Linked DNA regions of Arabidopsis thaliana. The protein of the gene in region 2 purifies or fractionates together with the protein of the main gene of each other region. This does not show direct contact. Each region holds a gene or a part of one and is shown on either strand. Other genes may lie near its edges.

Region 1 (7,696 bases), on a different chromosome or scaffold from region 2:
GGCACCTTCACCAGAAAAAATTACAGAATGGAGAACTGGCGTTGAGGCTTAACATCAAAAGAAATCGACGAAAACAATATAATACGAACAAAACCGAGATGCAAACCTGATCTGCTTGTAACATACGCTTAACGCATTCACTGTTTATATAACGATCTGCTAGGTCCATGCCTCTAGCTTCATCGGCAAGTGCAGCAGCGGCAGTCAAGTCTCCTGCATGCTTCATTATTCGGCTCTGTGTTGAGAGAAACAAGTACAAGGGTTAAGAAGAAACAAGAACATCCTCACACAAACAAGATAACCTGATCCAGGGTGTGCACACAATATAGAAATTCTGTTAACACAATCGCTATAACTAAAAAAGTTCAAACCCAGCCATCCTGTCAAAAAAGTTTTCAAAATGTGTCTCCACACATAGTGCAAGCAGCAATAGTGACACCAAAAAAACTGATGGATCAAAAGCTTATACGAAGATTTTTGGCCATGATAAACAAGGATACCTTGACGGAGTACAGATCAATCACTGTTGGCGTATGAGCAATGGCCTCATCAATTTTACAGAGCGCAACATCATATTGACCACGCCTGTCATAATGCTGCATTATGAAAAATATGTATCAAAATAAAAATACACAAAACGTAAAACTGTTAAAAAATAGAGAGAATTAAGACAGCAATAGCAAAAGTGAACCTGAGCCAAGAAAAACAATGTCCACAATAGTGTAGAAGGGGGCTCTTTTACATCACTGCATCAATTAAGAATTAAACAAAAGAATCGACTGATTATCATTAACGTAGAGAACATTTCAATGTTGTTTTGTAAAAAGTAAGACCTTATATAATAGATGACAATAATTCAGTGACTACTTCAGTAATGGATTCAGTTGTATACCTTCCTGGGAAACTTCCTGTAGTCCCAATCGAATGTTTCATCTCAACAACTAGTTGCTCCAATATATCAGGCTGGGTAACAAAATAAGTATTAAAACATATTAAAAAGTAAGGTGTTGCCCAGATCAGTGAAATTGGAGACAGCAAGCTCAAGGACAAAGCAGGGAACTAACCTTGCGAGGGTGATCATACAGAGAAGAGAGATCAGAAAATAATGAAGGAACACCCTGAGACAAGTATCAAGAAATGTAAGAACATATTCAATTAGACCACTGTCTAAACAAAGAGATTCAAGGGAATGAAAAGATACCTTTGTCAAAAGAGGTTTAATGTACTTTGCTACAGCCTCCTTAAAGTTCTCATCTTGCAGAAAATCCAATGGTATCCTCTGAAATGGGGAAATAGAAAATAACTTAATACCAGTTTTAGAATTTTACGTATCAGCAGCCAAAAAAAACATCAGACGGGTAAAACATGGGTAGCCACTACTAGCTCCCTATGAAGTAGAAGGATACTAGAAAATGTATTACACTTCAGGCACTGATATGCCTTATCTCACCTTAACAGCGGATGACCGAGTGTACTGCTCACTTAGAGACTGGTACAAAGCATTTAACTTTTCAATCTGGTCGGACGAATATTGACCACTTTCTGAATACAATCCAAGGCATTTTTGGAGGCCCTCATGATATCTGAAAAAGCAAGGAATGCACTTTTTATTTGTTTACAAAAAATTGACAGTACCAAAAATATATAGAAGCCTTTGAGAGTAGCAAAGGTATAGACCGCCAATGCCAAAGATAATGAAGCAGGGCAAACAGATGTGACAATTGAGAAAAACGAAAAAATACACAGATAATTTCTTTAGAGCTACTTTGAAGTGCAAGGAAAAAACCTGTAATTGTCAGGGTTCATGGAAAGTAAAACCCTGTAGAGTTTATTGGCTTCTTCTAGACGACCAACCTTTGACAAGAGAGATACCTCTTGTTCTTTGTAAGACAACTTATCAACCTACAAACAAGCAAACGAGGAATGTTAAATCTACTATTATGTGTGCATCCTATTATCCAAATACATTCAACCATCAGTTTTGTGAACTTACTATTTTCGGCTCTTTTTTGTGCAACTCCTCAAGAGCTTTGTCAAAAGAACCACTCTCCTCAAGCAAGGAAACCTGAAACGAAAAAAAAATCCAGATGAGATTTCCTGCAGCTACAGCTATGAAAAATGTGCTAATGCCAACTGTAGGTTGCTCAAACAGGGAAGTTTCAGGGGGAAAGAGTGAACAGAACACCACCACTCCAGGTGGCTTGGAGAGACTTTCCAGGGTTCATATCCAATTATACTTGAGAGAGTTATGCTTTTGTCACAAAAGAATACAGGTGTGATTCACAAAATGTATGATACAAGCAGTAAGCCATATTTTGTATCAACCAACTTGTACTTTTGGTATTTTCGTCAATAGGAGAAAAATGTGTGAAACCCGTTTAGGCAAGCATGATTTTTCAGGGAAAAAAACTTAGAAAGACAACAGTCAATATATGATAGTTGTAAAGTTTCTGGTTGATACCTTGTATAGAATCATTTCTGTGTGTTCAATTAGCTCGTTCTCAGGAGGATAGTCATCCTCTAAGGTGCCTTCATACGCTTCCAAAATTTCAACAGCTTTAGAAGCACTGGTTTCAGGAGAAAATAGAACAAGTTAAGAGATCAAGGTTGATATACATGGCTAGCTTTTACTAGTAAAGAAAAGATGTTCACAGAAAATTCTACTGTATGTTCATTGGTATATTATTTCCTAAAAATCTGATGCAAGATTCGTACCAACATAGGCATCCACTATCTACTCCTTAAAGTGTTCAAGACTATAATTCCAAATCATATGCCATTAACCAGCTAGCCAATAGTCCAAAGAGGAAAAACTAGCATTCCATTCAAATGAGTAAAGTGGTTTAACATATTTAGATTTATGGGGTCAAGGACAATAACATACTTTGCGTTTAAATGCTGAGAGACTGCAAAGCCAATCCAGTTCATTCGGTGATTAGGCTTCAATGTCAAAAGCTGCTGCCTGGTCTCCACAAAACCGGATAAGTCCCGCATTTGTGCCTAGGAAAAAGAAAGTAACCAATATGATTAACTATTGAAAGCATCAAAAGAGATTAAAATTGGAACAAGCTTTACACAAAGTAAAGTGATAAAAAGTATGAAAAATCAGCTTTGAGAATAACTGGCACACCTAATAAATTCACCTCAATCTAGTTTTTCTCATAATTACCTGCAGAAGTGAGAGGTCTCTGAGTATTTCAAGGTTATCAGGATCTATTCTAAGAGCATTTCGGTAGCATTTGATTGCTTCTCTATACTCTCTGTCTGACCGGTACAAAAGACCAAGCACATGCCAGCAAACATGGCTTTTGATATCATTCTGCATGAAAAAATTTGAAGTATATAAATCCTATGTTACCCTGAAAACAAAATACCATTTTGGAAACTAAGGAATAAAGTTGTGATTATTGAAGAGCATATTCAAACCTTCACTCCAAGTCGAACAAGCTCATATGCTTCAGTTTTGCGGTCCATACAGTTTAGAGTCAGTCCTTTCATCGATAAAGTCTCTGAAAATCACAAACAATAAGAGCGACAAGTTTTAAAAGAAAGAAAAGAATAACGAAAAGGGTTGACAAATCAAAAAAAGCAAGAACTGCGTTTAACACGAAACAGAACTGGTCTCTACTAACAAAACTAAACAATACCAAGCATTACCCTTGTACTAAAAAGTTAATTTATTTGCTCTAATAGGAAGAAAGAAAATAAAAATTCTAACAGTGATTGATTCTTAAGACTATAGACAAGACAACGAAGCGCCTAGTAGACCTACAAGTCATGAGATCTCGGTTGATGTATGTAGTATAGAGTTGTAAGTATTTAGATAGCAGTAAAAAGATTAGCACTAAATCACAAAGGAATAGAAGGAGATATTAGATAAAAGACAAACTGACCTCCATGATCAGGAAACTTTTTTAATATGGCATCAGCTGCCTTGAGTCCCTTCTTGTACTGCTTAGTCTCATATGATTTCTGCATTATAAGATTACTCAGAATAACTATATATGATGTACTTACTTGCGAAAATTACATAAAGAAAAAGGTCAACTATTCAAAGCAGGTTGAACAATATAATGGTTAAACCCAAAATCTATGCTGAAACCATATATATATTGATAAAGCTTGGTTTTCAAGTTCTTCAAAGTAAACTACGAATCCCTGAGCGACTAAAAAAGCCCAGAAGCAATCGAGGTCTAATAATAGCCGATAGTCAAAAGTAACTGAAGCTAAGAACTTGGTACATCAAATTAACACATTAAGGAACCACAACTCCGCACAGTTTACTTCATATGTCAACGAATTTTTCTATTGACCCAACACATTGACGATTAACTTAATTTAGGGTTTAATAGAGCAGATAAAACTCATCGTATTCCAATTTCTGCTGACCAGGAACATCACATCGCATGTTTAAGACAAAGTAAAAACTGAGAAAGAAAGAGAGGGAATCGGAACATACGACGATGAGCTTGAAGAGGTTGGCCTCCTTAGGAGGAAGCGAAGCCCCCATTTTATTGCGCTACTGAGAGAGCTCGCGAAGACGAAGACGGAGAAGAAGAAGAAGAAGATGTTCTTCGCGAGTTCGATAGGGTGAGAGAGAGATAGAGGTGGCGTACTATCCGCTTCAACCCTACTGCGAAACAAAGAAAGGCACAACTCTCACAAGACAAAACCCAATAAGGGTATAAATAAATTAGGGTCTTGTCTTCAATCAATCTTCTTCGATCCTAACCATATCGGTACATGTTTCCGGTTTCAATTCGTTTGTCTGATATTACAAAACGGTTATTAAATTGGATAGAACCAAACCGGTTCAAAACTGGAGACATCTGAACCTAATTGACCAAATCAAATTTGTATTAACCGATCAAATTCATCGTCAATCGACACTAAAAAGTATCAAATCAAACCGACTTATTAATTGCAACCGATTACATCTCTCAATCGAATCCAAACCAGCATAAATAAATTCTAATTAGAAACATTCTTTCCGAACCAAGCAGACCGGATTATTTCAAATTTTTATCAGTAATAACATCCTACTCAAACCGAACAAACCGAGTATAACAAGAATTCTTGGAATTCCTTAAGAGATCATATGCAAAATGAAACAAGTTTGATCTAAAGACACTCTAAAGAAACGTTCCTATAAGCAAGTTCGATCTCTTCTTCAGTCATCTCAACGGTCATATCACTGTCATAGCCACAAGCAACCCGAGAGGTCGATTCATCTTCGCCCGGTTTTGCTAGCTCAGCTTCGTAGATCTTTTTCCACGACTTTGCTTGTTTGCAAACTTCTTCCTTTGATGCTGTTGAATTTTCCTTTTTAGAAGACGATTCCATCTTTCCAAGCTCCTTCACTACACGAGGGACAAAGCTCCATAGCTCTGTAACTGATCCAATGTCCTAAAATTAAGAACATTCGAGAATAAATTCAACCAATGATCTTCTCAAAGAAACTGATCAAAGTTTAACAAATCCAAAAATGTACACAGGCGGCAACTATTATTGTTCAGACTTCAGAGATATTAACCTGCTTCTGTTCAAGAGAATCTATGGCGTCTTGTAAGCAGGTTAAGACTCCTTCCGCAGCTATTCGCTTGATTTCGCCTGGTTCTGGCTGTTACAATGGCTTTAGAATAACGGAAACATACAATCAAGAAAACATGTCTTTTGAAAGAGCATATTAATTCCCTTACTTTTTCCTCCTGACTCTCAAGCCATGAGATGGTTTGACTTAGGTCATCCCTGGCCCATTTCTTCACCTCTGTAACAAAAAATGGCTCTTTCACAAGATTGCAAGCTGATCTATTCTGTGAACATATGGAAATAAACAGTCATAGACCATTGATTGGAGCAAAATACGGTTCGTTTTGGTTAACCAAATCATCAGATTTAAACATGCCTTGGATGAGGTAGATGGTGTTCCCCTTGTTTCTGTTTTTTTCTCTACTTGCTTCTCTGGTTTTTTAGACAGGTGTTCTCTCTTTTCTGAATACAATCAATTAAGGTTCACAGAGTCAACTAAACATCGGAGTGAAGCAGTGCAATAAGAAAAGCTTTTCTCTTGTCATAAACGTAAAAACAAGGTGATTTGATGAACCTCAGGATGGTTAAAACGGAGATTCTATCTAAAGCCTTTCCAATATAATTCTTTTTACCTCGATTAGCATCTTGGGGACTACTGCTTTTCCTCCATGGTTTTCCAGCATGCATAAGGTATTGCTCGATATCTACCAACTTCTTCTGCGCATAACACTCAGTTATCCACTCCTGGAGACAGTGAAATCATATAAAATATCAGCAAAAAGGAGAAATTCAAATCCGCACACAATCCCTTATAAGAAGAGTCAAAGAGGTAACCTTTGAGATAATTGTTCCACCATTTGTTTCAACTTGACGGAACTTTGGAGTGTTAGGAAAAGCACAAATCAACAAGGTAGAGCCAGCGTTCCAGTCAGGTTGATAGGTGGCTCCCATTGTCAAGGCTTGTGACCTCAGTGTACTCCTCTCAGGATTAACAAAGCCCGAAAGTACAAAAACAACGCCTTCCTGCATAGTTTAACCTTCAACTCAATCACAAAAGCATATAAACTAACATGACAGCTTAAGATAATTGAGTCTCAACAAGACCATGAAGACACACACAAACCATAAGTTTAGAGAATTCAGTGGTATTTGAACTTGGCTCGGCGTGTTCTGACTTGTTGGAAGGGGCATTTCTACTGTTGTGCTCTTCGGTTGGTCCTTCATCCTTAGGCTTCTTACAATGAGACTTACTCGGAGTAATCTCGGGATCCCTAGAACTCATCCAAGAAGGAAGATTTCGCTTCTGAGACATCTTGTCCTTTACAGTGGAGAGAATACTAACACAGCTTTCGTCCTACAAAGAAACACTATTATGAACCTAAGCCACTAGTTACTTGAAACTCCAGGAAAATATTGCTATTGCATCGCATCTAGCACAACACAAAGCCAGAGAGAAAACGGTGCAAATCTGCAAAAAATGTAAAACATTCCCTAAGAAAGACAAATCTTAATACAAACGAATGGTATAACCTTTTTTCAATTTCAACATAAAAAAATCAATGGACAATGGTTTTAACATAACTCAGTAGCACTGAATTTGAATTCGAGTTCAGATCAAATCACACTGGAAAATTGGAATTGAATACCAAAAAAAAAAAAAAAAAAAAAAAGAAGAAAGACATTGCAATTAACAGAACATCGCGAACTTCGCCATAAAACCCTCGAAAACTAAATCTACCCATGTAAATGAGCCAACACAGAGGAGAAGACTATAAACTTGAGAAGAAAGCGAGGAACCTTTAAGTGCTAGCGCTCCCCCCGTGGCTTCTCTTTGATCGAAATCATCAGAGACTATTCAATTTGTCAACATACAGTACAAAATCAGATCAAAATGACGGGTTTTCAATTTAACAAATGATTCAACTAGCAAAGGTGGACGTGCCGGAGTGGTTATCGGGCATGACTAGAAATCATGTGGGCTTTGCCCGCGCAGGTTCGAATCCTGCCGTTCACGCTTTTTTTTACCAATTTTTTGCTTTGACTCTTTCATTCGCGTTTTTACTCTTCTGCCCTTTTTTCTTTTTTTTTGGACATCAACTTGTCTGCCCTTTTAGGATTTCTAATGTTTCATTTTTACGGTGGAGGGGGTTTATGAATTAAAAGAAGT
Region 2 (7,461 bases):
GGAGCCAAACTTTCTATGCTTGTAAACGCCGCTTGGACTTTATCTAATCTTTGCAGAGGAAAGCCTCAGCCTCCATTTGATCAGGTAAGTTTTGAACCAAACTGAGTTTTGTTAGATCCCCACCTTCTCTTTCACTCTCAATATATGGTTGTCCAGCATATTTAAGAGATATTAGTCGGATTTAGTCCAAATTATGGTGATCAAGGCCTGTTTAGCACTGGAATATTTAATACTGTAAAAACTCTGGAAACAAGGTTTGATTCTTGGGTGAGGACAAACCCCAAGAATATTTTTTTTGTCATATGATCATTGTAACCAGGGCACCTGAAGGTTTTATTTTGGCATTAATAAATGCATCTGAAAACCTTTCACGCTCTCTTTATGGTTTCTTGACCTTAGCTTTGTGATCCACACTGCTGTAGTGATCCTGCTAATTTTCTTTGCGCGTTTTAAGTAAACTTTTTTCTGATTGGATTTGATGAATGTCGTATTCTTTTAGACATCTTACTTATTACCATATGCTCACAGGTGAGTGCTGCATTACCAGCTCTTGCACAACTCATTCGGTTAGACGACAAGGAACTCTTGGCTTACACGTGTTGGGCGCTGGTGTATCTTTCTGATGGTTCAAATGAAAAAATACAAGCCGTGATTGAAGCCAATGTTTGTGCGCGACTTATTGGTCTTTCGATGTGAGTGTTCAGGACTTTAGCTAACCAAAAAAATCCAGAGTCATAGATTCTGATGGCCGTTTGCTTTCTGAACAGCCACCGTTCGCCTTCAGTTATCACTCCCGCTCTTCGCACCATTGGAAATATTGTAACTGGAAACGATAGTCAAACTCAGGTAAATATGCGGCCAGAGATAAAATTTAGTATTAGTATCGCTTTTTAATATAATCCCTGCTCTTTTTCCATTTTGCGCTGGATATTCTACTGTTACTGTTATCTTTGTCAACTAAAAATTCTCAGAGTATTTGATTATTTATCACAAGTGAGTTCTCAGAACTTTTGTTCTTTGTGATTTTCTTAGCATATAATTGATCTTCAAGCGCTCCCATGCTTGGTAAATCTTCTAAGGGGATCCTATAACAAGACCATCAGGAAAGAAGCTTGTTGGACAGTCTCTAATATCACAGCTGGTTGTCAGTCACAGATTCAGGTTAGCCAATATACCGTCTCTAAACTTCTCTTTTTAATCGCAGTCTAATTAAGATGTTGCTCTGAATATATGTCTGCACTTGTTTATTATCTTTCCATAGGCTGTGTTTGATGCTGATATATGTCCTGCACTTGTTAATCTGCTCCAAAACTCTGAGGGCGACGTTAAGAAGGAAGCTGCCTGGGCTATCTGCAACGCCATAGCTGGAGGCTCTTACAAGCAAATCATGTACGTAGAACAAAACTCAATACAAAACCAGGAACCATATAGACCATCAAATATTCAGTAGTATAAATGTAGTCATGAAAAGAGTTCAAACAGCAGAACTAAATCTTATGGGTCTCATTCCATTGAAGCTATTACAACTTTTTTTGGTAGAGTTTTCAGCAGGTCCTTTGATGCGATCTGCTAATGTCTTGACAGGTTTCTAGTAAAGCAAGAATGCATCAAACCGTTGTGCGATCTTCTTACATGCTCAGATACTCAACTCGTCATGGTTTGTTTAGAAGCACTCAAAAAAATATTAAAGGTGGGAGAAGTTTTCAGCTCAAGACACGCTGAAGGTATTTACCAATGTCCTCAAACAAATGTAAACCCACATGCTCAGCTAATAGAAGAGGCAGAGGGACTGGAGAAAATCGAGGGCCTGCAATCTCATGAGAACAATGACATCTACGAAACTGCGGTGAAGATTCTTGAAACATACTGGATGGAAGAAGAAGAAGAAGAAGATCAAGAACAACAAGACATGATATATTTCCCAGTTGACAACTTTGCAAACATGCCAACATCCTCAGGCACTCTCAGTGAGATGCACTGCGGACCTTAAGAGGTAACATATATTTCCTTCTGGTAACTTTACTTGGTTTTTTGCTTACTCATTATGGACTAGATAGGATAACAAGATCCGACCATTAAGGAGTAGACGTTTTGTTCTAGATCAGAGAGTCTGGTTTGGTTTTGTTTAGGCTGAGAGAAACTTACCAAAACTCAAACCAAGCAACTCTGTTTCGGCTGGGTTTAATGAGTTTTACTTTAGTTCGGTTCAGTCTCATATAAAAGCTTCAGCTCTTATTTGGTGTCTTACTGATGATGCAGGACAAGTGGTCTAGGCAAACATACACTCACCTCATCTGTTCATAACATTTACTGCAAATGGAGATTAGAAATTACATTGCTTGCTTTATTTGGTAATGACAATGTTGGTCAGTACGTAGTATTATAGTGGCCTAGTGGATAATGGGCTATTTAATAGCTTGTAATCTGGAACAAACGTTACAGTTCTATATGATCTCTTCTCCACAGATTCTTAAAATCATGGTTAATATATTCTTTACAGTAAATAAATCCATTATAAACTCGTAAGAAGCCAACTTACAAACACTCAATACAAAAGTGATAATGTTTTCCTATGTAAACGCCATAAGAAATAAAAAAGAAAGCAGAAGAGGCTGCAGTAAAAGCCACTGAGCGAGATAGACAACACAGTTCGTTTTTCTCTTCAGGACATTTTGTGGACAGAACACTCCGCAACGCAAAAATTGTGGTGTTCGCGTTTCAAAAGAATTAAAAAATGAGGGATCTCCTTGTGTCACAACAGAATCTCCTTGAGGATTAAGAGTACCAGCATGATGAAGCAGAGAATGACAAGAACAGACGCACACATCACCATACCTCCTTGTCTCTGTGTACGTTCCGCCTGTGGAGATTCACAAGCAATTCCGCTTAAAAATTTAGGCATGAAATGGTGTGAGAGAGTATACACACTGATTGTAAAGAGAAATTTACCTTTTGCAGCTGTTTGAGACCATCGTCGACTGTACTAGCAACGTTCTGGATATTATAGTCAATCCGATCAACTATTGTACCCTGTCACGACAAGTTTGCTTTCAAGTTATAGAATTTCTAGAATCAGTGGCTCAGAAGCTAGACAACAGTTACAGTGTTGTACCTGGTCTATCACAAGCGCTGACAGATCCTTCATGATCTGAGCAAGCTCGCTTACGGATTCAACAACCTGCAGATGAAGCAGAACAAGAAGAAAGTGACAAGATTATGATTGTGTATGAAATAGGTAACAATTAAGAGCGGTAAGATCTGCAAACATTAACCTGTTGAATCTCTTTCTCCCTCTCTATTGATATTTCCTCACTCTTTTTTATCTTGCTCATTTGATGCTCACTAAATACCTGTAGTGTCATATATTGCATTATTACAGAAATACATAAGATGAATCATGGGTATAAGATTGGGACAAAGGAGTCATACCATATCATCAAAGTCATCATCTTCTGCTTTATATCTGCTTCCGTTCAGATTCATCTCTAAATCCGCTCCATCCTGATGATCATCACAGCTAGAAGTCAAAACTTCTTGGGAATAAACAAAATGTAATTGTCCTCAAAATCATAGAAATAACTAACAATAGAATGTATGAAACTCATGAAACCAAAATTTTATTAGAGTACAGCTGCATAACAGATCCAAAAACTCGAGAGCAACTCAGTATTACAAATAGTGAAGTCTTGGACATAGGAAATGTATAGTGCGTCATTGCATACCTCTTTTTGTAGTCTCAAACGTTTCAAATATGTAGACTGTTTCTTGCGTAACTCCATAGAAAGGTTTTGGAGATCCGTAGCAAGAGATCGCTGTTATAAAACACATGAGATTTTAAAGTTGAGATGTTGATGGGAAATGAAAGGACATGCGTTTAAGAGACACATCAAGTCAAGTACACCAACCTGGACGTTTTTCCTGACATTTGAATCTTCAGAAGGTCCAGCTGCAGAAAGCCTCTGAAGTTGCTTCTCAGATTTCTTCAATAGGAAGGTAACCTCTTGTGTCAAAGTCTCGATTTGATGTTGATCTTCTTTACCATCCCCAAACGAAGGCATCAACGCTTTCGCATGAGCCTTTCCCAATTCAGCCATTTTGGTTCTTGCACGTTGAATGTAAACTGAAATCTCCTCAGATACATCAACCCAATCTGGTGGTAAGCCCACTGTTATTGTACCTCTACTAGGACATTGGAAAACAAGAAGCAAAACTTTCAACTTCAACAAATTGGGCCACAGAAATATATTCAAGTACTATTCTCTTAATACTCAATCAGTAGCTGAAACAACAAGGCTGAACATCAAGCTACCAATTCCAAATCCATAAGAGACATTATTGCTCAGGATAATACCAAATTTTCTGCTAAATCAACAACTTACTTCAAAAATTCATAATCCAACTCACACTAGCAGCTACATGAAGTGATTAATTTCTAATGCAATCACCAAATTTCTAACATTTCAATGGCAGTGAGAGATAGAGAGGATGAGAAGTACCTCGAATTCCCAGGATCCTCGGTACTGACTGGAGCATAAGACCGATTTGGATTCAATAGAGACGTGCTCGCCATCTCGATCACCGGGCCTAATCCGGATTTAGCTCCGGTCAACGAATTGTGCTCCGTCAATGTCGACGACGAAGACGACCCCATTGGAGCACGAACGCTCCTGAGAGAGTTTCTGTACTTCCTAAACAACAGCGTACGATTCCTAGTCGCCATAACAGCTCAAATATAAACCCTATAAGAATCTCAGTGATAGCTAACCAAGATCTCGGCGTCTAGATGGATTTTAGCTTCCCTTCCGATCGAAAGCTATAGATCTAAACAGGATCGCGGTTTCATCATAGACAAAGCATCGAAAATCGCGCGAAAGAAACGAATGCGACTGCGGAAACCGGCCGATCTCCGGCGGGATCAAATTCTCCGACGGAGAAAAACAGCGCCCAGATTCACAAATTGGAAATTTAACTATAATTTCGAAAATTAATTAAAACATCCAATCGATAAATAAATAAACAGTTGACACAAAAAAAAAAAAAAAAAAAAAAGTCACAAGTCAGAAAAAACATAAGAACGGGGCTAAAAATCTCCTGCTATTGCGTGCATCTTTAACTGCGAAATCTTATAAATAAAACCACTGAAAACACGCCACGTGTCTAAAAGACAACAGCATGACGTTTTATTTGGAAACGTCATGTTTCTGAATGCAATTATACGTCGGGTAAAATAATAAAAACGGCATGCATTTTCGTAGACTTTACAAAAAGAGTTTATAGAGTGGCCCAACACTTTCTTGTTTTTCTATTTTTCCGCGAAATATTTGATTCATCACTGAAAGCAAACGTTTTAATTTCTTTTAGATAAAAAACATAAATTTAAAGAAATAATTTATAGAACTTGTCTCCTCTGTCTCTCACTCTCTATCCAAAATTAATTAAAACGAGGAGAAGAAGAAAAAAAGAAAGACAAAACTTTGTTAATAAACCGACCCAGAATCGTGGTCTTCATAATCTGTCTTTACCATTTTCGTTGGATTTCTTCAGACAGTAATCAGAATCATTTACTTTCGTATACAGATTCATTTTCTTCAAAACGTTTTATTTGTTAAGGAAAAAAGTACAAAACTTTCGACTTTTGTTTTCCGGGTTTTGTCAATAATGGATTCCGATTCATGGAGTGATCGTCTCGCTTCAGCTACGAGGAGATACCAGCTAGCTTTTCCATCACGATCTGGTTAGTTTAAATGATATGAATTTTTTCTCCCTCTGTTCTAAATGATTGTTATCTGATCTTTTTTTTCGTCTGAAAATTGATGGGCGAAGGTAGTTTAGGTGATAGACTTGTGTTTTCTTTCCGATTTAGAATCTCTGTTTTGAAGATTAAGAAATATATGAGAAATCTTCGATCTTGTTTTGAAAGATTTCGTATTTTGTCATTTTTTCATCGCCTTAGGCTTTGCTTGATACTAGCAAAAATGAAGGAAAGGGGGCTTTTGTAATTGATTTTTATTGACTGATGAAATATGGTTTGATTCTGGTTTTGCTCGATTCCTGAGAAAATGGATGAAAATTATCCAAAGTTGCAGTCTTTGTTAGCATTTTAATTACTCCTGTGATGCTACTATGCTCAGTGTTTATGAACATGAGAAAGTGAAGATATTGTTCTCCTCAGAAGAGGAGAATATGTTTCATATACTGTAACCTCAGAGGTAGAGTAGGGGTTTAGTATATCTGATTACTCTCTTTGTTTTCTTATAGCTTTGCTGTATAAATATTTGGTTGATGTGTTTTTGGGATTGCAGATACATTCTTAGGGTTTGAAGAGATAGATGGAGAAGAAGAGTTCAGGGAAGAGTTTGCTTGCCCTTTCTGTTCTGACTATTTTGATATTGTCTCTCTCTGCTGCCACATAGATGAAGATCATCCTATGGAAGCCAAAAATGGGGTAACTTTCTTATTTCTTTTTTAAAACAACCATTTGAAGCATAAAGATGCGTTTATACATTTCTGATTCATCACATGATTCTCAAAAGTTTAGACTGAGCGGTGTTGGTTCCTCCTCTGTTGTTACTTGGATGATATGACAAAGAAAACTGAGAATAATAGCATGTTTATAGCCGATTCACGAAGGAATAGTAGGATCAGCTGTATCTATTGCATCTGATATTTGGGGGATTTTGTTTGGATTCTATGAAAACTTAGCGTTTAATCTAGTGAACATTGTTATTGCAGGTATGTCCAGTTTGTGCGGTTAGGGTGGGTGTTGACATGGTTGCTCATATAACCCTTCAGCACGCTAATATTTTCAAGATATCCTTTTTTTCTTTCTCCCAAGTCATATATAACAATCAATCTTTTCTATCAGTGTTTCTATAGTCTGTTATTAAGTTGTGTTCTTGACAAAATATTACATGCACCGCAAGAGAAAACCAAGAAGAGGCGGGTCATATTCCACATTATCGATCTTAAGGAGAGAGTTTCCTGATGGAAACTTTCAGAGCCTCTTTGGAGGATCTTCGTGTATAGTATCGTCTTCCTCATCATCCAATGTAGCTGCTGACCCATTGTTATCGTCGTTCATTTCTCCTATTGCTGATGGGTTCTTCACCACGGAGTCATGCATATCTGCAGAAACGGGTCCTGTCAAGAAAACAACTATTCAGTGTTTACCCGAACAGTATGCTTACTTCTTCTCAATCATTTTACTTTGCCTAACCTCTTGTTAGTAAAAATCTGGTATTTCAAGACTGATTGAACCTAGATGATTCTAGGTTATTTTAAGTGTTTGGTCTATAACTTTCCATTGGAACATTTGCTTCAATGTTTTACTTTTGGGCACACTTGGGATTTATGAGCCAAACTGAAACTCTTTGATCAAGTTGAGTTCTTATACCCATATAGGACATGTATGGATCACTGATGAAGGTTTTGTGGATGATAGGAATGCGAAAAAAACTTCTC
Region 3 (6,393 bases), 380 kb from region 2:
ATGTAACTTTTCCATTTCTATGAGCATTGGCAGTTGCATGTGGACAATGTTCTAAGTCTGAGCTACTCTATTTGTTTACTTCTTTGTATTTGTCTTGTGATCATTCTTTTCCCCTCCTATTTGACTCAGTCAACGTACATCTCATCCAGCATATTACATGATTCTTCACACAGGCTCGCGGTATGAATTATCTTCACCATTGTAGTCCACCCATTATCCATCGTGATCTGAAGTCATCAAATCTGCTGGTAGACAAGAACTGGACCGTTAAGGTAAGATATTCACCTTGAGACACTTTTACTTTCCTGTAATCTAGATGGATGATGATCAGTGAATCACTACATAGCTTTCTAAAACGAAAATTTAACTTTAGAGAAATAAATCGTCTTATGTGAATGAACTGGAATAGTAAGACTCAGATCTCCAAAATGGAACTAGTAACATCGTCAACTTACCTGGATATCCCTACAGGTAGCTGACTTTGGTCTCTCGCGTATCAAGCATGAAACATACCTAACCAGCAAGTCTGGGAAGGGAACGGTACTATACCTGACTCTTATTGATTTCAATCTTCTTTTCTAGTCAATCTCTCACAATGATCTTGATTGAATTTTTACTTGTTCTGCAGCCTCAATGGATGGCACCAGAAGTTCTTCGAAATGAGTCTGCTGATGAGAAGTATATTCTTGTATTCTGTTTTGTTAAGTTCCCTTGATTAATTGTTCTTCTTTTCCTTAAACGTTAATTAGCTCTTCTAATTCGTTGATACAGATCTGACATTTACAGCTTTGGAGTAGTATTATGGGAGCTTGCCACCGAGAAGATCCCATGGGAAACTCTCAACTCTATGCAGGTATCATTTTTGATAGATAGAGAAATAATAAGAAAGCGTCTCCAAGTGACACTTTGTCCTAGAAATCTAAAAATCGGGAAAGTTTCACTTAAAAACTACATTCTATGTTCTGTCAATTATGCTAAAACAAATAACTAGAATCTTTATGTCAGAAGAATAGTTCCAGGGTCGATATGTTAAAATCCGTTGTACTAATTAAGACTTGAGAGTTAAGAGAGTGGGAACCATAAAAACGATTGTACTTGCTGTAAAATGTAAAGATACAAGTGAAGTGTGTTCTTTATATATAGTCATACTATACCACATCGCTACGAATTTGATGTCCTAACTCCTAATTCCATTGCACGACTTGATTGCCGAAAACTTCCAATTTCAGTTTCACTGCATATCCTCTCTCTATACACGAATCAAGTATGACGAGATGCTTATTTGAAATATGTGCAGGTGATTGGAGCTGTGGGGTTCATGGACCAGAGGCTGGAAATCCCAAAAGACATTGATCCTCGTTGGATCTCATTAATGGAGAGCTGTTGGCACAGGTACATTAACATATTGAACACTGCATAATCCGTGTGTAGCCTTTAATTATTATGGTTCTCCTTGATTTAGGTGTTCTACATGTTACATAGCTGATGCTGACATTGATTTGTGTTTTTATTTTGGTCTGTCCACGCGGCAGTGATACAAAGCTGAGACCCACATTCCAAGAACTGATGGATAAATTAAGAGACCTGCAAAGAAAGTATATGATACAGTTCCAAGCGACTCGTGCTGCGTTATCTGACAATTCTCTTCTCAAGGACAACTAATTAAAATAAAAGTTGAGCCTTTTTACCTTTTTGTTCCTCAATGCCATGCTTCAAGACTCAAAGACGTTCATGAGAACAGAGAAAGATAGAGAATGGGTCTGTTTGAGCAGTAGTACCAGTGGGTTGATGTGTAATTACAGCGTGGAGGAGACCTATAAGCAGAGACTGCCACTGAAATTATGGGAGTTGTGTTGTGATGTATTTGGGTCATTACACAAACTACCAAAAGAAACGTATTGCTCAGGTTAGTTACTGTAATTCTGGTGGTCGGTTCTGGTCTCTATTTCTCTGGTGGAAGCTTAAAGAAAGTGCGTGAAAGGGATTTGATGTGAAGTTGCAAAGTTGGGTAGGTTGGGCAAGAGATTGGATTGCATATATTATTCTTACTAAACATTTATGCGATCAAGTGTGGTAGAACCATTTGATGATATTTTGTACAGAGGAAAAAAAAGGGAGTTTGGAACTCTAGTTCTGAGAGAATATTGTAACACCAATTTTTTTTGGAACAGACATTTATTGGGGGATTTATGTAATCTATACCTACGTTGAAAGGTTGTCAAATTAGAAGTTATCACTAACCTACAGGTTGATCAACAAACTTCTTGTTTCAATGAATACCTTCGTTTGGAAGTTCTCGTTGTGCATCAGTCTAATTCAAACTTTTTCTAGAAACTTGAATGTATTTCTATTTTGTTTTGCTTTGAAGTAGTACTGTACCAATGTTCCATGATTATCCCACAAGCTTTTTACAGCTCCAAGACCAAGTAAACGAAGAACACATTCTTATATCTTGATAATAAGATTGAACTTCAAACTTCAGGTAGAACCACAAAACACCACCCCAGAATCGATTGTAACTGTATTCAGGGCTTCTCAGAGAGATCGGTTCAGCAATAGACAATTTTAACTCGGTTAAATATTAGGAGACTTGCTCTCAACCTCTCAAACATACAAAAAACCTTGGAAGTAAAGAATGGTCCTGCTCCATCATAGAGGATATCGTGAAAGCAATTGCCTAGTCGCAGCAACCGCATCACCTTTGTGCTCCCTTAGAGTTCTTTCCGCCACATTCTTTTCTATCTGCTCATTTACAATGGTGACAAACTTCAGAACTTTGTGAACACATGCATAGAAGAAGCTAATAAAAAGAAGCTAACCTCAAGTTCGTTTACAATAAACTCAACATCTGCAGGATTGATCTTCACAGAGGCCAGTTCTTTCTCCCTGCATAAAGTTCCAATACTTTGTCAATCAAATACAACGAAAAGTCTAATCTTTTCCGAAAGATGATATTGACTCGTAAATCACATTCAATCACTTATTAATAATAAGTTCTACTTGTTTTGTTGATCATTCTCGCTGTGTTTTCTCTAGTAAAAGCTATTACAGCACAACTGATATCTGGCGTCAATACTATCTAGATGTGAGTAATTTCAAAAAAACAAACAGATTCTCCAAAATTGACACTCTTGGTCTAAATAGATAGACTTAAGTGTTGCCAAGCCCCAAAAAAACAGATAAACACCAATTTGTACAGAGAGATTAGCTACAGTTTGAACTACAAGTGTAACGCAGTAATCAAATTAATCAAGTTAATTCTGAATTAGGAATGGAAACAAACGAGTTTGACTTATGTTACAGCTTCATTAAGCATTGCTAATAATCTCCTATTTCAGAATTTAGAACACGGGAAAAGCTTAGAGTTTTTACCTCAACCTCTTAGCATTCAGATCAGCCTCCCTAGAAGCAGCAATCGAAGCCATAGCCTGAAACACGATACCGACTTTTCAATTTACTAATCGAGCTAAAAAAATTTCGGAATTCCTAATATTTTCAGAAATCAGGACACGAAAGAGTTACATACCGATTGAACACGAGAGGAATCGAGCTGGCGATCCTCGACACGATCGGTGAGCTTGTCGAAAGCTTTGCTTTGTTGCTGCAAGTCCTTTGAATCAACCGCTATCTCAGCCCCAGCTTCCTCTGCTCCCTCCATTGCTTCAATTTCTTCTCTTCTCTCTTTCGACTTCTTTCAGTTTCGGTGAAGAAAATTTCCGGCAACAGAGATTTTGAGGTTCGATAGTGTTTCAAGCTTCGACGTTAGAAACCCTAAAGGCTAATTCTATCGGGTGAGGCTGGAACCAAACCGGCTAAACAATACCACAACCGAACCGAATTCCGGTTTAGTAGGTTAATTTTGCGATGAGCGAGAACGATCTATATTGGGCCTTGAATAAAAATAGTTATCGGCCCTTAAGCCCATGTAAGAAGCGTACTACAAATAAAATTATCTTGCTTGATAGTTTTGTAGTTCACTCACTATTTCACATTTTCGAAAACTGACAAGCTCCAAATTTGAAAACATTGGAGAGAGATGAAGGAAATTCAAATTCCCAGGAAAAGCTTCGCGCGCTCATCAGAACTCGGAGCTAAGAGACTCAAGGATCCTGAGATGAAGAATCGGAAGGTAATTTTATTAGATCGATCCTTAAAATCGCCATTGTTTTCTTCTTCCCACATCGTTCTACTCAAATTCGAATCAATGCTTCTCTGAACTGAAGGTTACGACGGAGAAGAGACAGATCGCAACATTTTCCGACGTATCTTTTGAAAGCACGAAGGATCCGATGGATTTTAGTCCGATCTCTCAGATTTCTGGTGCGATCTCTGATTCCGAGGCTGAGGTATATGCTTCGCTCCAATGTTTTAGTTAGGTTTAGTTTCCATCGAAGTTTTTCGTTGTGTTGCTTTGTAAACGCTCAGATCCGTTAAGATTAGATGTTAAATTTTCGAAAATTGAATCGATTTTGTCTGCGCTTGATGACGAATTGGAAAGATTAAACCTCAATTTTAGCCATTATGTGTCTGGGTACTGATTACTGGCTCGAATTATGTTGTTCTCTCCTCAGAGTGTTATTCAAGGATCGAGCCTAGACTTAATGTCAACCCCAGAGATTTGTCTTCCGGCTGATGATTCTCCAGTTTCAACCATTACTAGTGTGGAGGCTCGTATTGACACGTCTTCTACTGATCGGATCCAGTCGATTGTGGACTTGCCCGCTTCTGTGCAATCCTTGCGTGGGGAGATCAATGAGCTGAAAAAACTGATCTGTTCAGTTGACAATTCTGCAGAAATTAACTGGGTCGATAGAGTTGTTACTGTGAAATTCCGCATTGTGCTTTTGAGTTTCATTCTTTGGGCTATCTTAGCTGCGATTGTGGTCTTCTTCAGCTCAGGAGAGGAACGTGCTTACCGTGGACCACTTCCAACATGATTCTTCAAGGTAATTCACTTTACGTTTCTTACCTTTGTCACATTGATTCTGGTTTCCTTCTCATAGGATGATAACAATAATAATTTCAACGTTGCATAAGATTGGGGTTGTATACTGATCTGCCTTCAATAGCACATTTATCCTGTTTGTCATTTTATGTTGCATCTCTGCTAATGAAGGTCACAGCTGTTTAGTTTAAGTTGGCTATTAGCACCTCTTGAACTTCAACACTATTAACATATTTCAACTACTGGGATGTGTCTACCAAAGGAAAGATCAGTTCTAACATTGTTTTTTATTTTTTTTTTAGAATTCACTCTTTAAAAATAACTGCAACACACGTTCTCTAGTAAAAGTAAGTACAGATATCTCAGTGAAGTCTTATGCGGTTGAAATGCTACCTTCTTCTCTCTGTGTCCTTTTTGTTGAATGTTAAACTTCCTAAGCCTTCTGATTGAATGTTTTAAATTTAGCTCATGCTAGGCCCAAACCAAGTAGTCTCTCACTAGATCCATTGGTAGGTTGAGAGTGAGTTTGCAAGTAGGCCTCATAAGCAGCTAGTTAGTCTCATTCCTAAGTCCTAACCAATGATTGATCCCTAAAATTTTATTGGCACAACTGATATGACACTTGATCGTCTCATCTATGGTGACTTGTGTTATCCAAATGCAAAGTCTTCTCTCCATCACACATTTGATACATAGGCTTCTGTAGCATTTAAGTTGCTAGGTTCTAATATACCTTGATGTGTTCCATTCTTAGCTCTGTTTGATACAATGTAATGCAACCCCACCTAATTTATTTGCTTCATATATATAGCATGCTTGTTTCTATGTGCATCTCAAATCGATAGGTTATATAGATCTTACCAAGACATGTGCTAGCCTTTGTTTCCATTCTCATGCAAGCTGTTCTTTACATTTTTGTATATTAAGCCAGACAAATCCTATGGAAAGTCCAGCCTGTTAAGCTTTTTGGGTAATTACTTGATTTGATCTTTCACAACTATTAGGATAAACTCTTCGAGGTATTAGGTTAGGTTTATTCTCCATTATGGATAATGGTACAAAGATTAGGATTTAGAAACTAGTCCTGTATATAGAAAATGAATGACAGAATAATCCAGACTGGTGTTTGGCTTTTCTACTGGAGATTAATATAGTAGTAGGCCACTAAACACCAGAGAATATACTAATATATGCCATGTATTAAAGAGAAGCAGCTCTTGTTGGTTTACTTTTGAAGTAAAGTTTCTGTGTGATTAAAGAAAAATCCGGCTTAGTGATTTAAATTAGTGGAAACCAATTAGAAGAGTTTTGTTTGTTTCTCTTAATCAGTCTTGTCCTTGTGTCTTGACATTGATTAATGACCATATTTTGTGTATTACGTAATCAATGGTCTATATCATTTTTCTTGCTTACTTTCGTGGCGTTTGTATAGTTCAGTCTATGACTTT
Region 4 (10,486 bases), on a different chromosome or scaffold from region 2:
TAAACATCCAATAATGCATCTGTACGTTAAAAGAAGAAATTTCATGAGTAACTCTTTCGTACTACAGATCTAACATTTTTTTGTTTGAATTTGAGTGTAAGGTTCATTGGACGTGGTCATGACTCATGACTATATTATAAGTACAATAATTTTCCATTATCATAACCACTTACTTCAATGGACTGTTCTGTGATGTGAAACCTAGGATCTGACAACTTAAATTTAAGACAAAAAAACAAACATATAAATCATTTTAATAGAAAACCTTAGAAGGTTTTGAAAAAAGATTTAAGATATATAAAATGTAATGTTAAACCATTCATTTTAAAGATTTGAGCCTTTGAGGAAATAAATTTTCAAGCACATCTGAAATTTGAAAACAATGGTGAGTACTGAGTGGCTTATATATGCTTAGCAATTAGAAAGTTTTAATTTGTTTTGTTTTTGTTTTGGCCTCTCAAAGGAGCTTTACTTCTTTATATATAACAAGAACCCTCGTTCCCATATAACGATTATCTTTACGGGAATTTTTTTTGTTTCAAATTATGGTTTTACATTTTTTTAATTTTATTTTGAGTTGACATTTTTCGATTTCATGTTAATGAGAAGGACATGAAAACTAAATAAAAAGAGTACTGCAGCAGAGCGGCAGCATATGTCACGTGTCTTGTGAATGTAAAAAGATTCGGCTGCGTTTGAACGCAACTATTTTTCTAATCTAAGTTTTTCATGTTACAAAACTAACTATATTCAACTAACTATTTTATCCTTAGTAAAATAGTTTGTGGGTCATGTGAAGGGATTAAATTTAGTCGCTGAGTCAACATTTCGGATCATTGTTGAGTCCCCATTTGGCCGTTCATGTTACTTCACCAATTACCGTTAGTTATTCTATCAAAATTTTAAACTCTGAACTCTAACTGTCAAAACAAAGAGTTCATGTCAGATTAAAAAAGGATAATACGAGTCATAGGAGGTTAAAAAGAAGTTAGGGTATTGTGTCATCTTTAAGCTAAGATGCTAGCATTCGGTCGTATCAATTGGTTATGGCGTTCTAGTCAAACTACTGCGGTTGTCAAGGCAAAACGTAGCGCTACTGCGACTAGCAGTTCTCGTGCGCCTCATAGACTGTTCCAAAATTTGATCCCGAAGATGATTTTGATGAAGGGGCAAATATAAGACTGAATCCAGTGCTGAAACTGGTGGAACAGTCTCATGTTTCTCTGCTCTGTCCTTAAAAAGACTAGGGAAGTCTAGATGGACGATCTCTTGGCACTGATGAGGAACCACCCCTGGATGACTTATGTGACAAGAACGAACAATCGTAGAACTTCTAGTGACATAACAAAGAAAACAAGAGACTCTTCCACCAGTTTATATATCAATCGAAAAGATGAGAAGAAGTTATTGCTTTAATAAATATATTATGGTATATTAGAAAATAAAAAAAACTGGAACCGTGTTTCTTAGACATATATACCCAGAGCAAGCAAAACCAATCTATATGTCTGTCGTTCGTGTGAAATCAATGAATCAAAGCTTCCCCACTTAAAAGAAAAAAGAATAAAAGCACCAACCACAATCCAAACTAATTTAGATGAGCCAAAAAAAAACATACTATAAAAAGCACAAGGCAAAGTGTGTAAGAGTGTGCCACTTCTTCTTTCTTTTTTTATTCTTATGTAAACCAAAGATTTGCAGGAGAGGAGAGATTGGCATTACCGAGAAGGAACAATGCGATGATGATCACAACTATGAGTCCAATCCACATCCATTGCCGCAGTTTTCTCTTGCTTCCTCGGTTTCTTAAAGGCAGAGGAACCGATTTTGACTTGTTTTGTTTCAGAAACTGTGATGAAGGTTTGTGAGATTTCTTCATTTGTTGACTCTCCTCTACGGTTTGTTTCTTTGGAGTTTCGATCTCCCTTGGGGTTTCGACTACAGTTTCTGCTGTCGGAATTGGGTTTTCTGTTGCTGTCTCTTCTGATGTAAAAATCCCCTTTCTTCTCTCCTTCTTCCTTAGCTTCTTCTCTCGTTCCTACAAAATAGACAGAGTTGTTCAACAGATCCATGGCATAGTATTTAAAATAATTTTTGTCCCAACAGAAACATACTAGCTAGAGAGACTGATCGAAATCCAATTTGGATAACAGAATGACAAAAATATGCTTTTACCTTCTCCCTTTCTTCGGCTTCCTTCTGAGCCTTGAGAACAGCTCTTGCTTTTGCCTTCTCCTCTCTCTTCTTCTTCCTCTCCATTGCCTCTTTCGCTTTTGCTATTTCCTCTAACCGATGTTGCTCCTTCATCTTTGCAGCTTCCTTTTGTTTTCTCTTCTCTTCTTCTTTCTTAATTAACTCCTCTTCCTCTTTTGTTAACTTAGGCGGCTCTTCTTCTTCCGGTGTTGCTGACTTCTCTATCTCCTCTTTTCCAGAAACCAATTCTGTGACAATTGATGGAGGCTGGTCTGGCTTGACGGCCTTTTTAGATTTAGTGGTCTGACTCTTTTGCTCGGTGGGTTTAGCAACCTCCTTACCGTTGTTTTCAACTTTTGAACCTTCAAATTTAACGACTTTCTCTTTCTGTGCTGGAACTGCCTCATGTTTCTCTGCTCTGTCACTAGAAGTTCTAAGTTTGTCCGTTCTTGGAGCATAAGTGATCCGAGGTGGCTCCTCATCAGGGCCAAGAGATCGTCCATCTAGGGTTCCTAGTCTTCTAAAGGTACTCCTTGTGTTGCTTTTTACATAGTATTTACGGAACTCGTCGTCATTGTTCCACATATTCATGAAATTCTCCACCTGCTTAAAGACTGAAATGAGTACAAAGCCGACATACAGGGATTGAAAACGTAGTAGAAATTTGGCTTCTGCTTATACCTGGTCAGAACAAAGGCTTTGCAGTGCTGCTCTGTCTTTCTTCAAAGCCATTTCACTTGCTGCCCTTGAATTATCTCTGTACTTGAAGAAATATTTGTTCTGCAATACGAAAAAATAGTAAAAGTGAAGGATTTAATAAAAACCTCAGATGCAAACATTTGTAAGTTATGTCCACTTTCAGATGCTCTTTGGGTACCTTTTCTCGTTGTTGTTTCTTCAAATCCTGTAGGTGCACAAATGCTTCCTGGCGAACAGCATCAGCAGCTCTGAACTGTTCTTGCAGTTTACTCTGTGCTTCCCATTCCCCATCACACTTTTTTTTCGCAGCTTTTGTGATTTCTTCGGCTTTTGATAGATCGTTTCTGAGTGCGTCTAGTTCCTTCCTCAACACCTGTTATCACCAGAAAAGTCAGTTTTGAAATGTGTAAATGATATCCACACATAAAGGATGAGATAACTAAATCACCCGAATGGACATTATGCAAATAGATGACATAAATGCACTTGAACGGATAAATAGGTTGAATCAAAGTAGAGAGAGAACGGGTAGTAACTAAATGCAGATAGGACGTAAAAGATGACTGCTAGGACGTTTAAACTGTAGTGTACCTTCAAACGTTCTTCTGTTTTCTCTTTCTCATCCAATGCTTGCTTTACTTCATCCTTGGTACCCATACTCGAAGATATCTGCTCGCGAAGTTGCTTCAACTGCTTTATTTCACGCATGAAACCTTTTTCTTCATTCAGAGATAAAGTTGTGTGCTGCATCGTATGTTCCATATTACGCACCTGATTGGAGGCAGAGAAATAAGATAGATTAGCATAATCAAATTAGACAAGCTAAAAACTTGAACAAAACTTAGCTGGAAATGTGATCATTGGGAGTCTCACCCTTGAATCAATATCATCAACAGACGCAGCACTTTTAACCCGGCTAATCATAGACTGAAGGGCCTCAATTTCCTGCCGTTTTGAATGCATTGCTTTTCTTGCAGATCTCTCTTCTGCCATGACCGCCTTGTAACTGATATCATAGTCCTTACATATTGCCTAGAAATAACAATTTCAAAAAATGTCAGAGGCAAATTTAGAACAAAGATGTTTTAGCATATGAAAATCTCAAAAGCGTTTCTTACGCGTATCTTCTGGATATCCGCTCTAAGAGCATCCCGATTTTGTGTTTTCTGATCAACCTGCTCTTCAGCATGCTTCAGTTGCTCGGCTAACTTTTCATCATCATATCTAGGAACTCTAGGCAGAAAGTAAAAAGGTCTTTTCTCTATCTCTGCCGCTACAGTAAGCCCTTCAGAAGCATCAAGTACAGAAACTTCACCGGTCGAGGCTACTTTATCATCTGTTCTATCAACAACATTTCCTGAACACAACAATTTATATATACTGTCAACTCCATCCTTCTGATTCTCAACAAGAGAAGTACATAGCCTAATTTCATTTTTAATTAACTTATTACCTTCTTTGTTTTCAGCAGGTTGGCTGTCCACACAGTCTTTAGCTCCTGTATGTATGGTATCAGTAGATGTAACCACTTTAGATTCAAGATCCTGTGCACAGGTCTTGATTTCAGATGCAACTGAGGCAGTAGCGACTTCTTCATCTGTATTTATCGAAGATCTTTCTTTGACGTCCGATTCTTCCATCTCAGAAACTTCTTTAGGTGGTATATCCTCGCGCACAGCAACAGGAGTAGTCTTTGTCACGTTCACTTCTGAACCACAATTGACTTCTCTGTCTATTTCACCATCTTCAATAATGGATGGAGCTACATGTGCTTCAGCGCATTGTTTAATTGATTGAGCAGCTTCAGATTCCATGGCAACAGCGTCTATTTCGCCAGCCACTCCTGCTGAGCTTTCTGCAAAGTCAGAGACAGCAGTTTTGGTATCCAACAAGCTCAATGGTTCGTCGATGTTTGTAGAGAGAGTCTCAGCACTCTCATGTGATGCATTCCCAGAAAGATCCCCTGTAGGTAATTCTTTCGCTTCTTCAGCAGAATTTAGACAAACATCACCACCAACATTTAAGTTCCCCTCGCTATTGTCTCCTTGAACTTTCTCATTTGGAGCATGTTTTACATTCACATCGGTAACTTCTTCCAACTCAGCACTACAATCATCTTGAATTGTCTGGTTAGTGTCAACTCCATGATCCTCTGATAAACCTTGACTTTTGGTGTCATCGCTTACAATTACACTCGTGTCATTCGCAGAAGACACAACCTCATGTAGCGCATGGGATGGGAGTTTTTCAACTAGCCCAGATATCTCATCACTTTCTGATCCCTGCTGGTTAGTACAAGATAAGCCATCAGAAATAGCAGCTTCTGAACCATTATCTTTGGCAACAATAACAGCATCACTTATTTCTTCTGAAGCAGGGGCATCAAGAACTTCCTTAACTTCGGATGATATGTGTTGTTTTCCACCTTGATCACAAGTAGGATCGCTGGCATCTTGAGATTCTGGATGAGTGTTTATACTCCCATCAGACACAGAGCCATCATCAACAGCTCCAATTTCCGATTGCATCTTGCTGTCTTCAGATTCTGATTTGCTATTACCATTTTCAACAACACTATCTTTGCCAGAAGGCTGGGAATCCAAGCTGATGGCATTGAGAGCTTGAGTCTCAGCAGGGACGTCACTGCTTACCTCTGATACAACAACATCCACGGTTCCAGAGTCTGGCAACACTTCACCATCGGAAGCATTGACTTTTTCCGCCACTGAAGTGAATGGAACATCACTACTTCTCTCCAACTCTGATTCTACTGGAGGGTGACCGTTTTCAACAGAAACAGGTTCCAAAACTGTTACAGGTTCTGATCCGACGTGATCATTCACAGATTCAGATCCATTGATGGTTTCAGCTGGATCTGTTACCGTAGGTTGTCCCAAATCCATGCCTCCATCACTAGGCTCAGTTGGAGAAACCTTAGCGCTCACCAACTCAGACTCCCTTACTTCATCTGAGTCAACAGGGTGCTTTTCTACATTCTCGTTAAGTTTTAGATCTTGAGAAACATCCAAATCCCGATCAGATTTTTCTTGGGCTTCAATCTTGTCCCCTTGATGTCCCTCGACATCTGTTTCACTATCAGATTCGATTTCAACTTCAGGCTCCTCTACGTTATTCTTTGTCAGATCCTTGGATCCAACTTCAGAATCATGAAGTTGCTCCACTTCCTCTTTAGATTCCACTTTACCCTCAAGCCCACTTTCTAGATGCCCATTACCAGGATGCTGCTGGTCGACACTTTTTTCAAGAGAATCCTCAACTTCCGACTTTGGGATCTCAACGACTTCCTCTGGTCCATCATCTGTACTTTCTAGCTCAGACTTTTCCAGGGTTTGACTATCTTGAGAAACTCCCAAAACATCATCATCGGCAATACTTGGAGCATCTACCTTCACATTCTCTCCTTCCTTAAGATCTTTCTCCACATTGGCATCATCAACAGGCTTAACATAATCAGACTCTACAAAATCATCTCCAACGGTATCATTCTCCGTAATGAAATCGTAAGAACCATCGGTATCGTTCCCGTTGCCATTATTACTACCACCATGGCTGATCCCATTCACCACGTCCTCTTTGGTGGCCGAAACAACTACCTCCGGTTTAATCTCAGTCGCATTCTCAAAATCAACCTTCACCGACACCTCTCCTTGGTCTCTCTCTACCTCCACCGGCATTTTCACCGCTTCACGAACGATAAGCTAATCAAAGGCGTAAGAATAAATCAGATCAAACGAAATTGCAGCCAGCTCTAACGAAAATTCACGACCATAAAAAACTAAACCGACATGGACGGAGATCAGAGAAATTTCAGGGAAAATAAAAAAGCGATTTGCAACTAACCTTGAGATCAGGCTTTGTCGCCGGAGATTTCGAATGCTGAGATAGTCGGATCGGTAAGAAAGACAATGCCGGCGATTAACAGAGGAGGAATTTGAGGAAATTTTGGTCCGAGCAAAGAGAGAGTAGGAGACGAGAGAGAGAGAGAGATGAAGAAGAAGAAGAAGAAAACAGCTGGCTTAGAGAAGGAAGGAATTAAGGACGAGATCGAGAAGCCTCTTTGTTGAACAGAGGGCTTCGTTAATCTGATTTATTGTATTTATCGATTAACCAATATCTTTGTATTTTTCATATTTTGATTAGCATAGATTAGCATTAAAACTCATTTTAATTAGTAAGAAATATATATATAGTAGCGTATATTGTTGGAACATGTAAATCTTGGATACAGAGATTTATCCAAATGTTTTTATCAGTGTTAAAATTGTTAACTTCAAGTTCTGTTTATGATTGTCATCATTATTCATTATTACTAATTGCTACTATTTAATGACGTCATTAAACATTAATATCATATCCAAATATACTTTTATCCATGAAGAAAAGGATTTCATCTTTTTATATTTATGAAAGGAGGATTAATAGAACTTTTGTTGAAAATGACAAATCAATTATCTATAAGTTTCAGAAATTTTCTTATTTTGCAAGACTTTCTAATTTTTAAAGTGAAAAGGATAATTTAACTCCGAAGGGAAAATTAAAGGAGCTTCTTAATGATTAAAGTGGTGTTTGAGATAAGAATTAATAATTTTTCAAAATATGTTTAAAAATACTAATATATTGAAAAATTATCATCCATGATTATAGGTAAAAAGATCACATTTTGTAATGGACTTAATAAGATAAATACACGTGGCATCCTTTAATAGGATGAAATGCAGTTTTTGACATCACCATAGCAAGTTGTAGTATTTTAGTTAGATTTTAGCCAACAATATTAATTAACACTAATTCAAAGATTTACCATAATTCGTTATATTATCCGGATCAGGTTGGATCGGGTCGGATAAAGTAGCGCGTGAGAAGGGATGGGCCTTGCTATTACGAAAACGGATATGCGATTTCTGTTCCACATTAGAAAACGACGTTCTCATTCTTAACTCTCTCGTTTCATGAATTATATTGATTGCATATTAACGATGATTATGTAATATCTAACCTCCTAATTTTGGTCTCTTTCATTAAAGCTTTTTATTGGGTGATACAATGAAAATATTTAGTATAATTCAAATACATCAATAAGATTCAATTGTGCTACTACTATAACCGAAAAATAATTTCCCTATAGAAATTTAAATTGCATATTGTAAAGAAGATAGTTATTCTTCATTATTTATTTTTTACTGCCTAACTTGATTAAAATTTACTTTAAATAACTTAACCACAACTAAGCGATTAACGTTCATAAAAAGATACTCATCCTATATTTTCATATTGAAGATGAGAATTTTTCTTTTCCAACCTACTAACTGAAAATGACGTGCTTACTAAAACTCTAATGATATGTCGGTTTCGGTGGTAAGATTCAATAAATACAATACAAGACACACATTATCTAATGGCTCTTTTGTTTTCTTGCCTACATATTATGACATTTATTTAGTTTTCCGCTGTTTGTTTATTTAGATCTACTCCACAATAGTTGACGAAGATATATTATACGCGTAAATAGAATTGAAAAATACGTTAATATACGGAGACGACTTTAATTTGTAGTTGCCATTAGTTTGGTAAGCACTAGATCGACAATAAAGTGAGTAGCTGGTAAAACTAATTAACAATATACCAACTTGAGTTAATTCGTCAAAGAGACAGCTACACAAATAAATCAATCAATAGGCATGAACTAACTGACAATATATGCCGCAACACGAGCTATATATATCCGTCTATGATACATATTTTTCTTTATATCAAGCTTTTCAAATGTATAGGTATAAGAACTCAATTTTATGATTATCGCCTCTACACGTTGTTTTTGTGCTTTTTTTTTTCTACTTTTGTATATATTTGGGTCATGCGTGAAGCGGTGAGAGTACTTTCGGTTGGTGGAATGTCACGATGAGCTTCATCTTTTGACCTTATCAATTCTAGTAGCGGTTCCTGACATGGAAATTCACGTATACATGATACGAAAACTGTTACATTTCGTCACTTTCGTCAATATTTCTACGCATATTATTCATATATGTTATCTATTTTCTTCGTATGTTTCACAAAAAACGTATTTTGGACTTTCTAGGGTTTGTTAAAATCTCTAATAGTTTATTCATAGTATATATGGAAGGAATATTGAGACAATATTACTCGAAATTTTAATTATGCATGGATATATTCAGACCAAAATGTCAATTAGCCTCCGAAATGTATAAAACAAGATAAAGGATTTATAGTGGTCAACCCATTATTGTTATAATAAAGGATTTTGTAGTTAACTATGATACATTGTAACACATTTGAATTTTGTGGCAGACTAGCGATGATTTTCTGAATGACCTTTTTCAAATCAATTGTTACTTGTAAAAATTTGTCATTAACAACCGTAAGTGATAATCGGTAGTTAAATATTCCTTCCATATATACTAATCAAATGCAGCGGTTAAATAATTGATAGGAAAAAAAACAGCATAGGCATTGTTACTTTGTGTTTACACTTTTGAATAAAAAGTATTATTAAGTAAAACAAATAAATAATAAAAAATATTATTAAATCTTGGAATAAAGTACACCAATTTTGTCATAAATAATTAACTCCGGCAAAACTTTAAAGATAATGGAGCCACACTATGTCACATGATCGATGCTCCCTCTAATCCGCAATAGGTGCTTACATGGATGTTTAAACCGAATTTAGGCGGACGAGAGTTCTTAGTTGTTTATATATACGTAATTTGTTTTGTTGTATATGTGCAGTAACAAAAATAACATCGCTTTAAAACAAAAAAAATTGAAGTGGTTTAGCATAATTTTAGATATTAATTAATCTTGGTAAACTCTTAAAAAAACAGTTTTGTTTTAGAATATTAAACAAAAATACATAATTGAATATGATGCTCTTGTTACGTGGATTTCCACACATGGCCTTTTTGGGACATTTTGATTTTCCACGTCTCAATATTTCACACGCCTACTTATGTGATGACTGATGCGTGATTAGTCAATTTTCTGTATTAAATTACTGTTTTGTTTGTTTGTCACCATTCTCTGTATTTCCTTAAAGAGTAAAAGAAAGTAAAAATTTAGTCACCGGTTGAGTTTTTTTCTTTCCAAACAAGAGTTTTAATGATGGAGTGAGTTTTTCTTGTACTTTGTCATGTTGTTATGGTAGTTGATTCTTGTTATATCGATATATAACATGAGAACTCTTTTTAATACAAAACTATAAATTATACGTGTTGCATGTTTGAAAACTATATTATCACTAAGATCAATAGATCTCTTTAGAGATTTGACAAAAATAAACAAAGACATATATATAAATTTTTTGGATATTTTTATGGACTGCCCAGTTTTCACATGATAACACATGAACCTTCGTCTCATATACATGTGCCATCTTTTACTAATCTAAGATTGCATTCAAAGTAATCAGCCTCCATGTCATTGTCACCATTTAAAGTTTTTCCCATTCCTTGTTCATTATTACACACACATTATATTTGTCAGCGATTATTAATGTTGAGGTATTAATATTTTGACAATTTTAATTCTTATAATAAACAAAAACACTTGCATT

Evidence for each region.
Region 1: the proteins of SYP43 (region 2) and EMB2753 purify together in Arabidopsis thaliana (affinity purification with mass spectrometry, with the first as the bait; one large-scale study listed by BioGRID). This does not show direct contact.
Region 3: the proteins of SYP43 (region 2) and AT3G06610 purify together in Arabidopsis thaliana (affinity purification with mass spectrometry, with the first as the bait; one large-scale study listed by BioGRID). This does not show direct contact.
Region 4: the proteins of SYP43 (region 2) and AT1G20970 purify together in Arabidopsis thaliana (affinity purification with mass spectrometry, with the first as the bait; one large-scale study listed by BioGRID). This does not show direct contact.

The regions. Positions count from the first base shown.
Region 1 is NC_003070.9:30,230,323-30,238,018, forward strand, and holds the start of EMB2753 (tetratricopeptide repeat (TPR)-containing protein), read right to left. Parts: upstream 4,664-7,696; 5' UTR 4,511-4,663; coding exon 4,460-4,510; intron 3,973-4,459; coding exon 3,894-3,972; intron 3,510-3,893; coding exon 3,427-3,509; intron 3,320-3,426; coding exon 3,170-3,319; intron 3,001-3,169; coding exon 2,885-3,000; intron 2,568-2,884; coding exon 2,462-2,567; intron 2,066-2,461; coding exon 1,994-2,065; intron 1,903-1,993; coding exon 1,787-1,902; intron 1,584-1,786; coding exon 1,451-1,583; intron 1,280-1,450; coding exon 1,202-1,279; intron 1,119-1,201; coding exon 1,065-1,118; intron 964-1,064; coding exon 893-963; intron 747-892; coding exon 692-746; intron 597-691; coding exon 501-596; intron 236-500; coding exon 107-235; intron 6-106; coding exon 1-5. Other genes in the region: ATXRCC1 (BRCT domain-containing DNA repair protein), read right to left, coding at 5,122-5,406, 5,534-5,620, 5,700-5,813, 5,906-5,991, 6,162-6,273, 6,364-6,552, 6,653-6,841. UniProt on the Arabidopsis thaliana protein: Auxiliary subunit of the NatA N-alpha-acetyltransferase complex. Required for male gametocyte development, embryogenesis, suspensor development and the formation of the quiescent center (QC) in the root meristem.
Region 2 is NC_003074.8:1,682,521-1,689,981, reverse strand, and holds SYP43 (syntaxin of plants 43), read right to left. Parts: upstream 4,980-7,461; 5' UTR 4,721-4,979; coding exon 4,497-4,720; intron 4,183-4,496; coding exon 3,906-4,182; intron 3,813-3,905; coding exon 3,723-3,812; intron 3,502-3,722; coding exon 3,430-3,501; intron 3,351-3,429; coding exon 3,273-3,350; intron 3,179-3,272; coding exon 3,113-3,178; intron 3,031-3,112; coding exon 2,950-3,030; intron 2,861-2,949; coding exon 2,753-2,860; 3' UTR 2,424-2,752; downstream 1-2,423. Other genes in the region: IMPA-7 (importin alpha), read left to right, coding at 1-84, 529-692, 768-846, 1,033-1,161, 1,262-1,389, 1,585-1,990; AT3G05700 (Drought-responsive family protein), read left to right, coding at 5,659-5,734, 6,303-6,445, 6,733-6,810, 6,912-7,177, 7,442-7,461. UniProt on the Arabidopsis thaliana protein: Contributes to the regulation of secretory and vacuolar transport pathways in the post-Golgi network, and to the maintenance of the Golgi apparatus and trans-Golgi network (TGN) morphologies.
Region 3 is NC_003074.8:2,058,102-2,064,494, reverse strand, and holds AT3G06610 (DNA-binding enhancer protein-like protein), read right to left. Parts: upstream 3,881-6,393; 5' UTR 3,659-3,880; coding exon 3,527-3,658; intron 3,429-3,526; coding exon 3,373-3,428; intron 2,887-3,372; coding exon 2,820-2,886; intron 2,743-2,819; coding exon 2,650-2,742; 3' UTR 2,342-2,649; downstream 1-2,341. Other genes in the region: AT3G06620 (PAS domain-containing protein tyrosine kinase family protein), read left to right, coding at 174-272, 472-540, 629-678, 772-853, 1,298-1,392, 1,533-1,662; AT3G06600 (uncharacterized protein), read left to right, coding at 4,037-4,129, 4,224-4,346, 4,572-4,937.
Region 4 is NC_003070.9:7,310,439-7,320,924, reverse strand, and holds AT1G20970 (calponin-like domain protein), read right to left. Parts: upstream 7,025-10,486; 5' UTR 6,754-7,024; intron 6,612-6,753; 5' UTR 6,588-6,611; coding exon 4,346-6,587; intron 4,250-4,345; coding exon 4,011-4,249; intron 3,925-4,010; coding exon 3,766-3,924; intron 3,664-3,765; coding exon 3,484-3,663; intron 3,266-3,483; coding exon 3,071-3,265; intron 2,974-3,070; coding exon 2,875-2,973; intron 2,797-2,874; coding exon 2,176-2,796; intron 2,039-2,175; coding exon 1,679-2,038; 3' UTR 1,004-1,678; downstream 1-1,003.